Linked DNA regions of Drosophila melanogaster. The protein of the gene in region 1 interacts with the protein of each later gene in a pairwise test. Each region holds a gene or a part of one and is shown in the gene's direction. Other genes may lie near its edges.

Evidence for each region.
Region 2: the proteins of Arf4 (region 1) and CG10177 interact in a two-hybrid assay, tested with the Drosophila melanogaster proteins (one large-scale study listed by BioGRID).
Region 3: the proteins of Arf4 (region 1) and CG31482 interact in a two-hybrid assay, tested with the Drosophila melanogaster proteins (one large-scale study listed by BioGRID).

Annotation. Positions count from the first base shown.
Region 1 is NC_004353.4:1,121,709-1,126,353, forward strand, and holds Arf4 (ADP ribosylation factor 4), read left to right. Parts: upstream 1-2,458; 5' UTR 2,459-2,556; coding exon 2,557-2,623; intron 2,624-2,727; coding exon 2,728-2,990; intron 2,991-3,059; coding exon 3,060-3,185; intron 3,186-3,241; coding exon 3,242-3,328; 3' UTR 3,329-3,617; downstream 3,618-4,645. UniProt on the Drosophila melanogaster protein: GTP-binding protein involved in protein trafficking; may modulate vesicle budding and uncoating within the Golgi apparatus.
Region 2 is NT_033777.3:23,519,120-23,523,289, reverse strand, and holds CG10177 (uncharacterized protein), read left to right. Parts: upstream 1-1,706; 5' UTR 1,707-1,846; coding exon 1,847-3,082; 3' UTR 3,083-3,144; downstream 3,145-4,170. Other genes in the region: CG10175 (uncharacterized protein), read left to right, coding at 26-215.
Region 3 is NT_033777.3:6,599,624-6,603,227, forward strand, and holds CG31482 (uncharacterized protein), read left to right. Parts: upstream 1-1,618; 5' UTR 1,619-1,686; coding exon 1,687-1,728; intron 1,729-1,786; coding exon 1,787-1,915; intron 1,916-1,972; coding exon 1,973-2,289; intron 2,290-2,342; coding exon 2,343-2,442; 3' UTR 2,443-2,578; downstream 2,579-3,604.

The DNA of each region.
Region 1 (4,645 bases):
TTCCTTTCTATTATTTTTAAAAGCATTAAAACTACATGAACTTACATAAATATATTGTACATATGTGTATATATTGAAGATTATATTTTATATTTTCCCAAAACTCGTATCAATAAATCTTTAAAAATCATGTACCTAGTAGATGTTTATTTTCCGTTCTTTAAGATAAAAATAATAATAATATAATACATTGCAATTTTATACTCTGTGATGACACATTCGACTTTAGAGTAGTTTTTCTTTCTAATACGTGGTAAAATAAGACAAAGTTTTGTCGTGTGTAGGCCCTACACCCTTTCGCAGTTTTTATACAATATGTTGAAAACGCGAAAACGAAATTCGACAAATTTTTTTGTTGCTTAATAAATTTTTTGCAGACACATAAAATTATATTTATTTCTGAACATTTTTTTAAGATTACACAGTCTTGCGCTTCAAGGGCTCTTATGAAAGGATAAACAATGAATGAATTTTGAGAGAAAAAGAAACGTTCAAGGAAAAGAAGTATTACAGAGTTCAGTTCATAATAATAAAAAATTAAATATTGGTTAAGCCGAGATTTTGTTTTATACTTTGGAAACACTTCTTCTTTCAAAGCACTCAATATAAATTTTCCTGATAATTTATTCTGGAAAGTATCTAGAAAACAATCCTGAGTAATGTTTACGAAAGTATTGTAATATAGTCTCGGAATATATCCAGAAGACATTTAGGGAATGCTTACAGAAGCTTTTCACGGAGTTCCTACAGCACGGGAAGTATGAAAGAGCCCGGCAAAAAGGAACACCAAATTTCCTCCTCATGAAACCACTTCCACTCGAAAAAGAGTATCGAAAGTGTTCCGGAATAATTCCACTACCGTCTCGGTGCTTCTCTACTTTTTTCGTTGGTACAATACAATAGAAAGAATGTAACCAAAGCAACAAGAATTACGGCCAATTTTTTACGTTAAATCAAAAACTTTTTAAAGTTGTTGTTGGTGTTAGAATAAAATAGATAAGTTATTCAAATTGGTTCGGATTTTCTTTAATTATATATATGTAGGACAGAAAGTGGAAAGTCTGGGAATTTTAGTAGCACTTTTTTTTAGTTAGTCTCATTTTTTGTTGATTAGCTTACAGCTCCAAAACACATTTTATTCGAGGACCGTGTATAAACTCTAGTTCCCGTGACTATATATGATTAAACATTATAAAATGTACCACAGTGAAACTGATTGTTGGATTACATATATGTATTACATTAGTATATATGAATATGCATGGATGAGAAAATCTTGTGTATGTGTTGTATCCAAGAGATACACATTCTGTAATGAACTTGGATTGCCTAACTGAACGAATAGCGAACCTATCCGAAGGGAATCATGCGTAACCTAAATACTTTGATTATAACTTTTACATATGCATAGATTTAAATCGACTCAAATATGAAATAGTACAAGTTAATTAGACGGGGCACATTAACAAAATCTCAGAAAATAATTTTTTTTGTTTCATTACATAGTTTCTTACTTTTGTCAGCAAAATAATTACTTGTGACGTTTGAAAAACTAGTTGTAAGTTTAAATACAGAAGTCAATACACTGGAAACGTTTATCCGACATTTTCAGATCCTTGTGTGGAAGTGGTTAATACTTGAAAAGTGATTAAAAAAAACAACATATAAGGCCCTGTGGAGACTATGCTCTAACATTTTAATCGAATTTTAAGTGATACCATGGTTTGTTTAAAAGGAAAGTTAAGGGGTGCTTACGCTGTTTTGATTTACAAATGACTGGAATTTTTGGGTAGGATATTTTCATATATAGATATTTTGATTCCTTGATATCCCAAGACTCAACATTTTTTTTTTATTTTTGATCAGAGGCAGAATATTTATGTTGTTAACTATTGCAAATCGCAACCAAAATATAGTGATTGTCATTTATCTTGGCCTGATATCGACATATTGGCAATAGCAGACCTTTGATTAATAAAAATGTCTTAATTTTTGGTTAATAGAGAGGAAGAACCTAAGTTTTTTGTTTTCAGGCAGCTTTATAGTGTTTGAAAAATTTGTAACATCGTTTTTAAATTTGATTTTTAAATTTGATTTGAAAAAGTTGTTTTGGCAATTAGAATTCGCGAATAATACCATAGTCCTACAGAGCACATTCGTAAAAAACAGTTGTGATTTTTAAAAATTGTGTAACTCCGAGTCTAAGTTATATGCTCACTAACCCCTTGGGGGCAGCCTTTCTAGGTCAATTTAAATATTTCACTTAAAAAATGTACACGAAAATGGTTTTATCGACATTCGACTTAATGGCGCAGTCAAAACATTGTATTATCGATGTAGTTTTGTGTTTCTTTTTATTGTTTTCATCAGACCATGCTTAGGGTATAGTCAACATACTGTTATTAGTATTTTATAGAAAACAGTATTTTTAACCATCGTTTAACTTTTCTGAAAAGTACAGCATTATTAATCGAATGACTAGTTTACACGTCAATTTACTGAAGTTACTGAAGACAAGCTTTTTCCTATACGAAATAAAATAGTTTCTTATTAAACATGGGACTAACAATATCTAGTCTTTTGACACGTTTGTTTGGAAAAAAACAAATGCGTATTCTTATGGGTATGTTCAAAATACGATACACTAAATATAAGCCTTTAGTTCGCGCATAATTTTTAAGTACTTGCAATCAACGTGCACATAATTTTAAATATTTTTGTACGCAGTTGGCTTGGATGCTGCTGGAAAAACGACTATTCTGTACAAATTAAAGCTGGGTGAAATTGTAACCACCATACCAACCATAGGCTTCAATGTCGAGACTGTGGAATATAAGAATATATGTTTTACCGTTTGGGATGTTGGTGGCCAAGACAAAATTCGCCCGTTGTGGCGACACTATTTCCAAAATACACAGGGTCTTATATTTGTAGTGGATTCCAACGACCGCGATCGTATAACTGAAGCTGAAAGAGAACTACAGAACATGGTACTCATTTTATTTAATTAAAAGTATATACATACGTGTCAACCAATTCCATGTTTATTTTTCCCACAGCTCCAGGAGGATGAACTTAGGGACGCGGTACTTTTGGTTTTTGCCAACAAACAGGACCTACCGAATGCAATGACAGCTGCCGAGCTTACGGACAAGTTGCGCCTTAACCAATTAAGGAATCGCCACGTATGTCTTAGGGGTAATTGTCCCAAAAATGTTTACTTATATCTACCCATTTTTAGTGGTTTATTCAGTCTACATGTGCTACCCAAGGGCACGGTCTTTATGAAGGACTTGATTGGCTATCAGCTGAATTGGCTAAAAAATAAAAATATTCCTTATATTGTAAGATAGGAATTGCTGTTCTCGTATGCTGAAAACTAGATTTTAAATAAACTTGTAAATGTATATAAACTCGTTTGGAACTTTGTTGTAAATTTAAAATGTCCACGTTTTATGTGTTGGTGAGAAAACTGCACTTGCCTTAGTTGTATTTTTAAAAATTAGTGATCGGATAACTAATAAAAATATATTTTTAACTTACTTATTCGGGAAAATATATGTTCGTTTTTTTATTAGTATGCCTCAATACCATTACCAGAATTCAATCAAATAAACATATTTTTGATTCGTACTCATTTATGTTAATTCAGTTTTTAATAGCCACCAGATTTGTTGAAAACTACGTAACTGTTAGCAGAAGCGTTTCCGACCTTAGAAAGAATATATATTCCTGATCAGGACCAATATCCGAGTTGATCTGGGCATGTCCGTATGAACGCCTCGGTCTCAGGAACTATTAAAGGTAGGGAATTGAGATTAGACATGCAGATTCTATGTCCGTATGAAGAGAACTATTAAAGGTAGAGAATTGAGATTAGACATGCAGCTTCCAGAGGTATTTACGGAGAGAAAACTTTTGATATTTTAAAATATTTTTATTAGTCTTGTAACCCAAAATCCCCAAAACCCCCCACCCAAAATCGCTCAAACATGCCGAACATTCTTAAAAAATTGGTTATTCTTATTGAAATCTTTCACACTTCCTGCTGAGTAAATGGTATCTGATTCTCGTGGAATTCGAGAAAGAATTCGACAAAATATAAAACTATGAAAAAATATCGAAAGTTTTTTAAAAATGTGGTCGAGGCCGTTTTGGGTGGTTTTATTGCGTTAGAGTGCGAGTGGCCAAAATTTTTTTTGGCAAATCGATAGAAATTTACAAGACTAATAAAAATATCAAAACATATTTCAAAAGTGTGGACAGTTTTGGCCAGTTTGTTTGCGTCAAAATTGGCTTGGCAACATCGGCCAACAAACTTGCGCTGCGTCTATGTCTCTAGAATCTGTATGCTTAATCTTAATCTTCTAGCTTTTATAGTTCGTGAGGTGTCTAGATATCCATGGCCGGATCAAAGACACTAATAGCTTTGGCCAGATCGACTCGGCTGGATGTTCGGAAACGCTTCTTCTACAGCTTGTTTGTGTTGAAATTGGCGTGGTAACATGGGTCAAAAAAATTGTCTATGTCGTCTAGAATCTGTATGCTTTAGTTCGTAAGATATATAAGATTAAAGACTCTAATATCTATGGCCAGATCGACTCGGCTGGATCGGAAACGCTGCTTCTTCTGCCTGTTACATACT
Region 2 (4,170 bases), on another chromosome or scaffold:
AAAATTTAACCAATGCTAATTACAGCTCTCCTACGCCTGATTCCGAGGATCCTATGCTGACCACCAAGTGGGCACCAATCGATCCCACCAATGTGATGAACAGTCTCAACTATATGGATATCTCAGCCAATCTGGCGATGAAAACCAATCCCGAGCCGGAGCGTCAGAGATTCTGGGATGAGATGTATCAGCATTACAATGGGGCTGCCATGTAAAAAGACATCCAAATACCCTCACAAAACCACACACACACACACCACACACACTCACCCTCACACACTCTATTTTCGTATTGCCATTTTGTGAAAGATCGCACGAAACCCAGAATATTTAAATGCAAAATTCATTGTACAATTTTCGTAGCTCGTAGAAATTGTTAGCTATATTTTTAGCTATATTGTTAGCAACTATTTTGTAAGTGTTCCAGCATTTATTCACACCAACACCTATTCACTTTCATAACCCAACGTTGAGATGCCTTTCCTTACTACACGTGTATCCACAATAACCAGGTGTAAATAGTCAGAGTCTATCTAATGCAAACATCCAAAACACGATGTTAATGTAAATTAAACATATTATATTTTAGCTGTTGTCTTTGAATTTGTTGTAAATTATTTTAATTTGGGGAAGTTACAATTTCAACAAGCGTAGTTATCGTCTCTCAAAATTAATCCAACGTAAGTTCACGTAAATTTATAAATTCTAATACACAATCAACTTGTAACTTACATTCCTTATACATGTAGAATACAAACATGTAAAAAATCAGAGTTATGTACAATCTATCAAAAAAGTTAGCCGATACAAGAACCCATTGCATTCTACACATTCTTTTATATGTATGCTATCCCGATTTTACATATCAATACTTATCCTTAAAAATCAGGATAACAAAGACCGACTTCCTTAGTTATCAGGATGGGGAGAAAGAATGCTGAAAGAATACATGCAATTACCACGAAGGGGAGGTAATTTCAAATTACAATTTAGAATATTTAGAACAGGACAAATGTTAGCATTATTAAAAGTTTTAAGAAGGAAAATAAAATTTTTCCTGAATTTTTGTGAGTTTACTTTTAGGGCGTGCACGAAAAAAATAGACTATAGAAATAAAAGAATAGAAGAAAAGACTTGTGAGAAAACGCATTGCTGAAATTCATAATCTGACGCCTATAAATAATCCAATAAAATCGTTATGTATATGAGATATATGCCCTGAGAAGCAAAATGCTGTGCATAAATCAAACGTGATCCAGATAAAAACCAGTGGCCTGACGTCCAACTTCGCATCATTTTAGCAATAAATATACAAATTTCTCAACAGGTGGTTAATTGAGAAAGTCAACCGAATCGATTTGTTGACTATTACAGAAATAGCCGTTGCGTGAATTTTAAAACAAATTACACCTCAGGATCCCCATGTGGCACTCTGATGGACTACAAATTTGCACTTGACGCGATTTAAGTGGCCGCCAACGGATTGTCAGGGGGCAGCTGCGAGTTCATCCAAGTATCGGGGGTCGCACACACACTGGGCGACAACGCTGATTATTCAATTATTCCAACGGCTTTGGCGCTCTTCATCCGCGTCGAGTCGCTGCCATTCACAATTTAGTGGATCATAAATTATTCCAGGGCAGGGAATTGCGGAAGAGCATTGAGAGAAACAAGCCTGTTTCTACCGCATGGAAACCGAGATGGCCAAGCAATCGCCTTCACAAACTTGGGAAGCTAAGCCAGGTTACACAGCACAATTTCAGATTTTTCTTAGAAGCTCAGCATTCTTTCGTATATTTTTTTACACTACATTAGTTTTACAAGATTTTTAACGTTTTAGCGCGTTATGTCAGAGCAATCAACTTCTCTTGGCTCCAGGAGGGTAGGTCCTCCACTTCACAAAAAAGCTCTGCGGGTGTGCTTCCTGCGGAACGGAGATAGACACTTCAAGGGCGTTAATTTGGTCATCTCTCGAGCCCACTTCAAGGACTTTCCGGCTCTTCTGCAAGGAGTCACCGAGTCTTTAAAACGCCATGTGCTTTTGAGATCAGCAATCGCGCACTTCCGCCGGACTGACGGATCGCATTTAACATCGCTGAGTTGTTTCCGCGAAACCGACATTGTGATTTGCTGCTGTAAGAACGAAGAAATAATTTGTGTCAAGTACAGCATCAACAAGGACTTCCAGCGAATGGTGGACTCTTGTAAACGTTGGGGCCAACATCATTTAGACAGTGGAACCCTGGAGTCCATGAAGTCCCACGACCTGCCCGAGGCCATACAGCTTTACATAGAGACTATAGAGCCCGTTGAGCACAACACAAGGACGCTGATATATCGCGGGCAAACCAGGGCCAACAGGACGAAGTGCACCGTAAAGATGGTGAACAAGCAGACTCAAAGCAACGACCGCGGAGATACCTATATGGAGGCAGAGGTGCTGCGACAGCTTCAGTCGCATCCAAACATCATCGAGCTGATGTACACGGTTGAGGATGAGCGCTATATGTACACGGTTTTAGAGCACCTGGACTGTAACATGCAGAAAGTAATTCAGAAGCGCGGTATCTTGTCGGAGGCAGATGCCAGATCGGTGATGAGATGCACGGTATCGGCACTGGCGCATATGCACCAACTTCAGGTGATTCATCGGGACATCAAGCCGGAGAATCTGCTGGTTTGCTCTTCATCCGGCAAGTGGAACTTTAAAATGGTCAAAGTGGCGAACTTTGACTTGGCCACTTACTATCGTGGCAGCAAGTTGTACGTCCGTTGCGGCACTCCATGCTACATGGCACCCGAGATGATCGCAATGTCGGGATACGATTATCAGGTGGACTCCTGGTCGCTGGGTGTTACTCTGTTTTATATGCTCTGCGGTAAAATGCCCTTTGCTAGTGCCTGTAAAAATTCAAAGGAGATCTATGCAGCGATCATGAGCGGTGGACCCACGTATCCCAAGGATATGGAAAGTGTCATGAGTCCAGAGGCTACCCAGTTGATCGACGGACTGCTTGTGAGCGACCCCAGCTATCGTGTTCCCATCGCTGAGCTCGACAAGTTCCAGTTCTTGGCCCTATAGCGTTGTTCAAAATTTCCAGTATTATCGGATTTTTTAGAATTTCAATAAATTTAAATAGGTTCAAGTGAGGCCATTACAATAGCCCAAGATTTATGGTGGCAGTGAACGCTTTTAATTGGCTTAATGCCGTCAAAATTAACTACGCATGACCATACCGTTGACTGCACAGCGATGCTTGTATGGACATATATATTTGTTATTAACGTCACAATTTATTTATTATTTATGTTTGCACAATGCAGCCAAAATGCGCGTGAGTCGATGGTAAACACTGAGATATTACGTATACGACACCTTGTACTCGAATCCGAGCCAAAATACAAACGAAAGCCATTGTTTGCGCTGTCTATTTAAACAGGGAGATTCAGTGACAGTCGTATCTGATAAATCAGAACTCTCTGGGCTAACCTATCGATATTGCGACACCACACGGGGGCCCACAGAATATCAAGCAGGCGCCACCCCTTCCCCGACTTCGACTCAAGGTCGCTTGCATTGAGAAGTGTCTCTGCCTTCTGATTTCGTTGATAAGATGAGCTTATCGCACTTATCTTCCGCTTCGCTTTCAATTTACGAATCATTTCAATTGAACTTTTTCCGCGGCACAGCCGCAAGTTGTATCTTTCGGTAACAGTATCTGTGAGAGCATCGTCGATGTGCACTGTGTAATTTTCTCTCTTCCTGAACATGTATGTGTGTGTCACTTACAGCTCACCGCTTTCTGTTCACAAGTTTTGTTTAGTTGGAAAAATGTTCTTTCAGTCGGCCGTCATTTAATCCATTGGTCGGACTTGCGGATCCGTAGATTCGCTGTGACAGTTGCTCTGTGGCTCTGAGTGCCCTCTGATCTCCAGTCCTCAGATCATCTCATTTCTGGAACGACACGCGTCGGCAAAACATAACGAAACGGAGCTTGTGAAACTAAAACATTGTGCCTATTATCAGTTCGCAACATGCCATCATAAAGTGCCAAAAGTTTGTTGAGGCTCTTTTGCAAAACAATGGAGATCTAACAAAATCTCGATTTAAGGGTGTCAATCAATTTAATATCTAAAAGGTGATAAAACTACTTAAGCTTAAGCGTGCTG
Region 3 (3,604 bases), on another chromosome or scaffold:
TTACAATTTTGAGTGTGTGCTGCTTGTCCTTGCGTGCCTGGAATTTCAGAAAAAATAAACGCTTTGCGTGTTGCTCTTCTGATGTCGTTTAACCATTATGTGGCATGAATTTGCCATTTTCATTTAAATGCTGCTCTTGGCAGCGAGTCAACTCGTTGGCTTTTTAGCGACTGTTCTGCATTCATAAGCAGCAATCGTATATATCCTGCGGAATGTACTGAAATTGTTGTTGGATTTAGGTCTAAATGTATACAAAACTAGTATTCTTATTTGTTAAGCCCTGAATAAATTTAATTTTTAAATTGCATAAATTGCAGTGCAGTGAAATCATCTGTAATACCCATAGTACCAAAAACCTTATTTTTGTGAATGATTTTGTGTTGCGTACAAAACCTAGATTTCACGCTGATCATTTCCATTCCTAAGTTTTGAAAACAGCAGAGGTGCCATCACCAGTGACGAACCAGATTATGCTCATGCTGGTGCCATCGAAATTGATAGTGGAAATATGTGTGCTGAATGGGATATTTAAGCGCGCCTATCAAACACGCGCACAATAAATCTTCGTCACGGGCCCAAATTGACATTTTACAGCCAAAAACCAGAAACCAAAGCCACGCAGAGGACAAAGTAAGTTCCACTAGTCCGTGTTCCAGCTGCTTTTTTGCTCCTGCGGCTGCCGCTGTTTCGAAAGCCACTGATATTGTTGTCAACGATGATGGCCCAAGGCATCAGCCACATGTGTGGGAGCCAGAGCTCGTCCCTCCTCAAAGTGCCCTCGCACATGGTTGGCAAAGCCAAACCTTTATTGCCACAGCTCCATGGAGCAACAGCGAAAATTTAATATCTGGCTGGGGCGTGGCTCCATTGGAGCTGGTCCGTTGTTGCTGGCGATCAGAACTCATCGCATTATCCTTTGGCCTGGTGGCGGTTACTCGCTCAAAATAATTGCACACTGCACCCCCAATAAGTCTGTTCGCCCGTTTGATACAGAGAAATTTCTATTCGCATTTCCCAAACAAAAGTGGTGTACAAAAATAAAACTGCATATAAGTTTTAAAACATACGCCATACAAAATATATTAAAAAATGTCCGAAAAAATATTGTGCTTTTCCTCGTTCTGGTTTTCAGTGTCTCTGTGAAGTCATCTGTCAGTACCCTAATGCAAAAAGCATGAAACCTCAGGCCAGCTGTCAACACAACAAGCAAATTGCCGCGGAAGCATCAGTTTTGAGGCAACTAGACTTTTTTGATATGGAAAAACCCCTATCAGTAAGAGTCACTAGAACTATAGGTTTATTTTTAAAAATAATCAGCTCCTTTAACACAAAGTTAGACTTCTAAGTAGACAAACAAAATTTAACCCTCGTCTAATTTGTGTTTCTTTTGAGATTGGTTTTGATACTCAGCTTTCCATGCATTATGTCCGAATCTAAAGTCAACTTCATATTTTAGTAGATTTTTGGAACGATACTCATGTACAAATGATACAAACTGCATGAGAAGTGCACGGACTAAAAACTGTATTAATTAAGGGATCCTCCATACGCTTTATAGGTACACCAAACTAATTACAATTTAAGTAACTTTTAAATTACGTCACCAGAATTTCGAGGTCTTTAAAGCAATCAGAATCCTAGATAAGTTTGTCAAAGTTTTCGTGCTATAGTTATTCTCAAAAAAACATGTTTTTGGTGAACATATTGATTGTTTTGGCTCTATGTTTGGTATAATTAAATATTTAGTAATTTTAAATGAAATCTGATTTATTCTCCTGTATTCTAGTTGGTGTTGGTTATAGCTGATCTTCAGGAGGACCATCTAAATGAACACAATCGGTTGAGGGAGAAGCATGGAAGTCCGCCTCTGACCTTGGACGATGAACTCACAAAGGGATGCGAAGAATATGCTAAAGTATTTCGTTGGTTAATAACAATGTTACCTTTTTACACTTTTAATACCCTCGAACAGGTGCTAGCCAATAATGAAAAGTTAGAGCATTCAAGTTCTGCCGGTCAAAACTATGGTGAAAACTTGTGCATGCGGTCACAAACCCCTCTGCAATGTGTTCAAGACTGGTACGACGAAATCGCGGACTACGACTTTGAAAAGCCACAGTTTGCAATGTCAACGGGTCATTTCACCGCCCTCGTTTGGAAGAATGCGAAAAAAATGGGTATTGGGCAAGCCAAGGACAAAAAGGGTTACTACTGGGTGGTAGCAAGATATTATCCACCAGTCAATGTGAACGGGCAGTTCGAAGAAAATGTTCTTCCGCCGATCAAAGGGTAAGCAAATTAATTACATCTGTAGTTTTTTCTTTCATTTTATTTCATTGCAGGGAAGGTGATGAAAATGGTCAAGGCAATTTGAATAGATTTCAAGTTGACAATATTCCCATCATAGTCATGCTTTGGTTATGCTGGCAATTCACAAATTGAGGGTCATTATCACTTTGAAGTTTTTGTGCCGCAGTTCTTGTAAATTTGTAGTTAAGCAATTTGAAAAACCAATTACTGATATTTGAAACTACTCTGTACCCAATAATAAATTTCACTTTTTGGAAGTTTGGTGAATATGCCATTGTTAGTTATGTAAAACCATTCTATCTAGTTGCTTGCAACTTGTAGTTCACCAGGAAGATATTAAAACAGCACACGATATTTAATGATCGAAACTGGGGAGTGCTGCCTTAACACTGGGGTGTTTGGCATTTACAAAAACTATTTAAATGCATGAAATATTTTGAATTAAAAAAAAGAGAGAATGTTATAGTCGAGTTCCCCGACTATCTAATACCCGTTACTCAGCTGCTGGCAGTGAGAACGTGATATTTCATAATTTTCTGGCATATCGATAGATATTGGAGAATTTAATGGGAAGGCGTGGCTGCATGGATGAACAAACTTGTGCTTTAGAATCTGTATGCTTTATCTTAACCTTATAGCTTATATAATTCCTGAAATTTCGACGGTCATACGAACGACCAGACAGACGGACATGATCCTGATCAAGAATAAATATACTTTATACGGTCAGAAACTCTTCCTTCTACATACTTCCTTGACATACTTTTTAACGAATCTAGTGTATTCTACTTAATTCTACGAGTAACGGGTATAAAATGTGTTAAAATTTATATTATTTGAAACAGCTATTACTACAGCTATAGAAATCCAATCTAAGACGACACAGCACTGGTGGGCGTGTGAGTATGTTGGGTTAATTTGAATTCGTGCGATAGGGATATTCAGTTTTTTTTTTTCACTAGGCGCGGGTTGTTCTGGCCTTTTTCTTTCCGCATTTATTTTTATCTTTTTTGGCAATCAGCATCAGCCGAAAGGAATTCCCCATTGACTATGCCGGTGTCAACAAAGTGGCGGAAAAGAATTAGGTATACTGTCTCGGTTGGCTGTTTATACCCTTCTACTATCTCAATCCTTAACAAGTTTTAGATGGCTTAATATATTTATAAAATTATATAAATTGTAATCATTTTTATGAATTATATCACATTACTTTACCACTAAGTCAAAATGGGTGACTTATGCACCTTTTGGGGTGGTACCTACCACGTACTGGGTATCTATAAGTCGGTGCAAT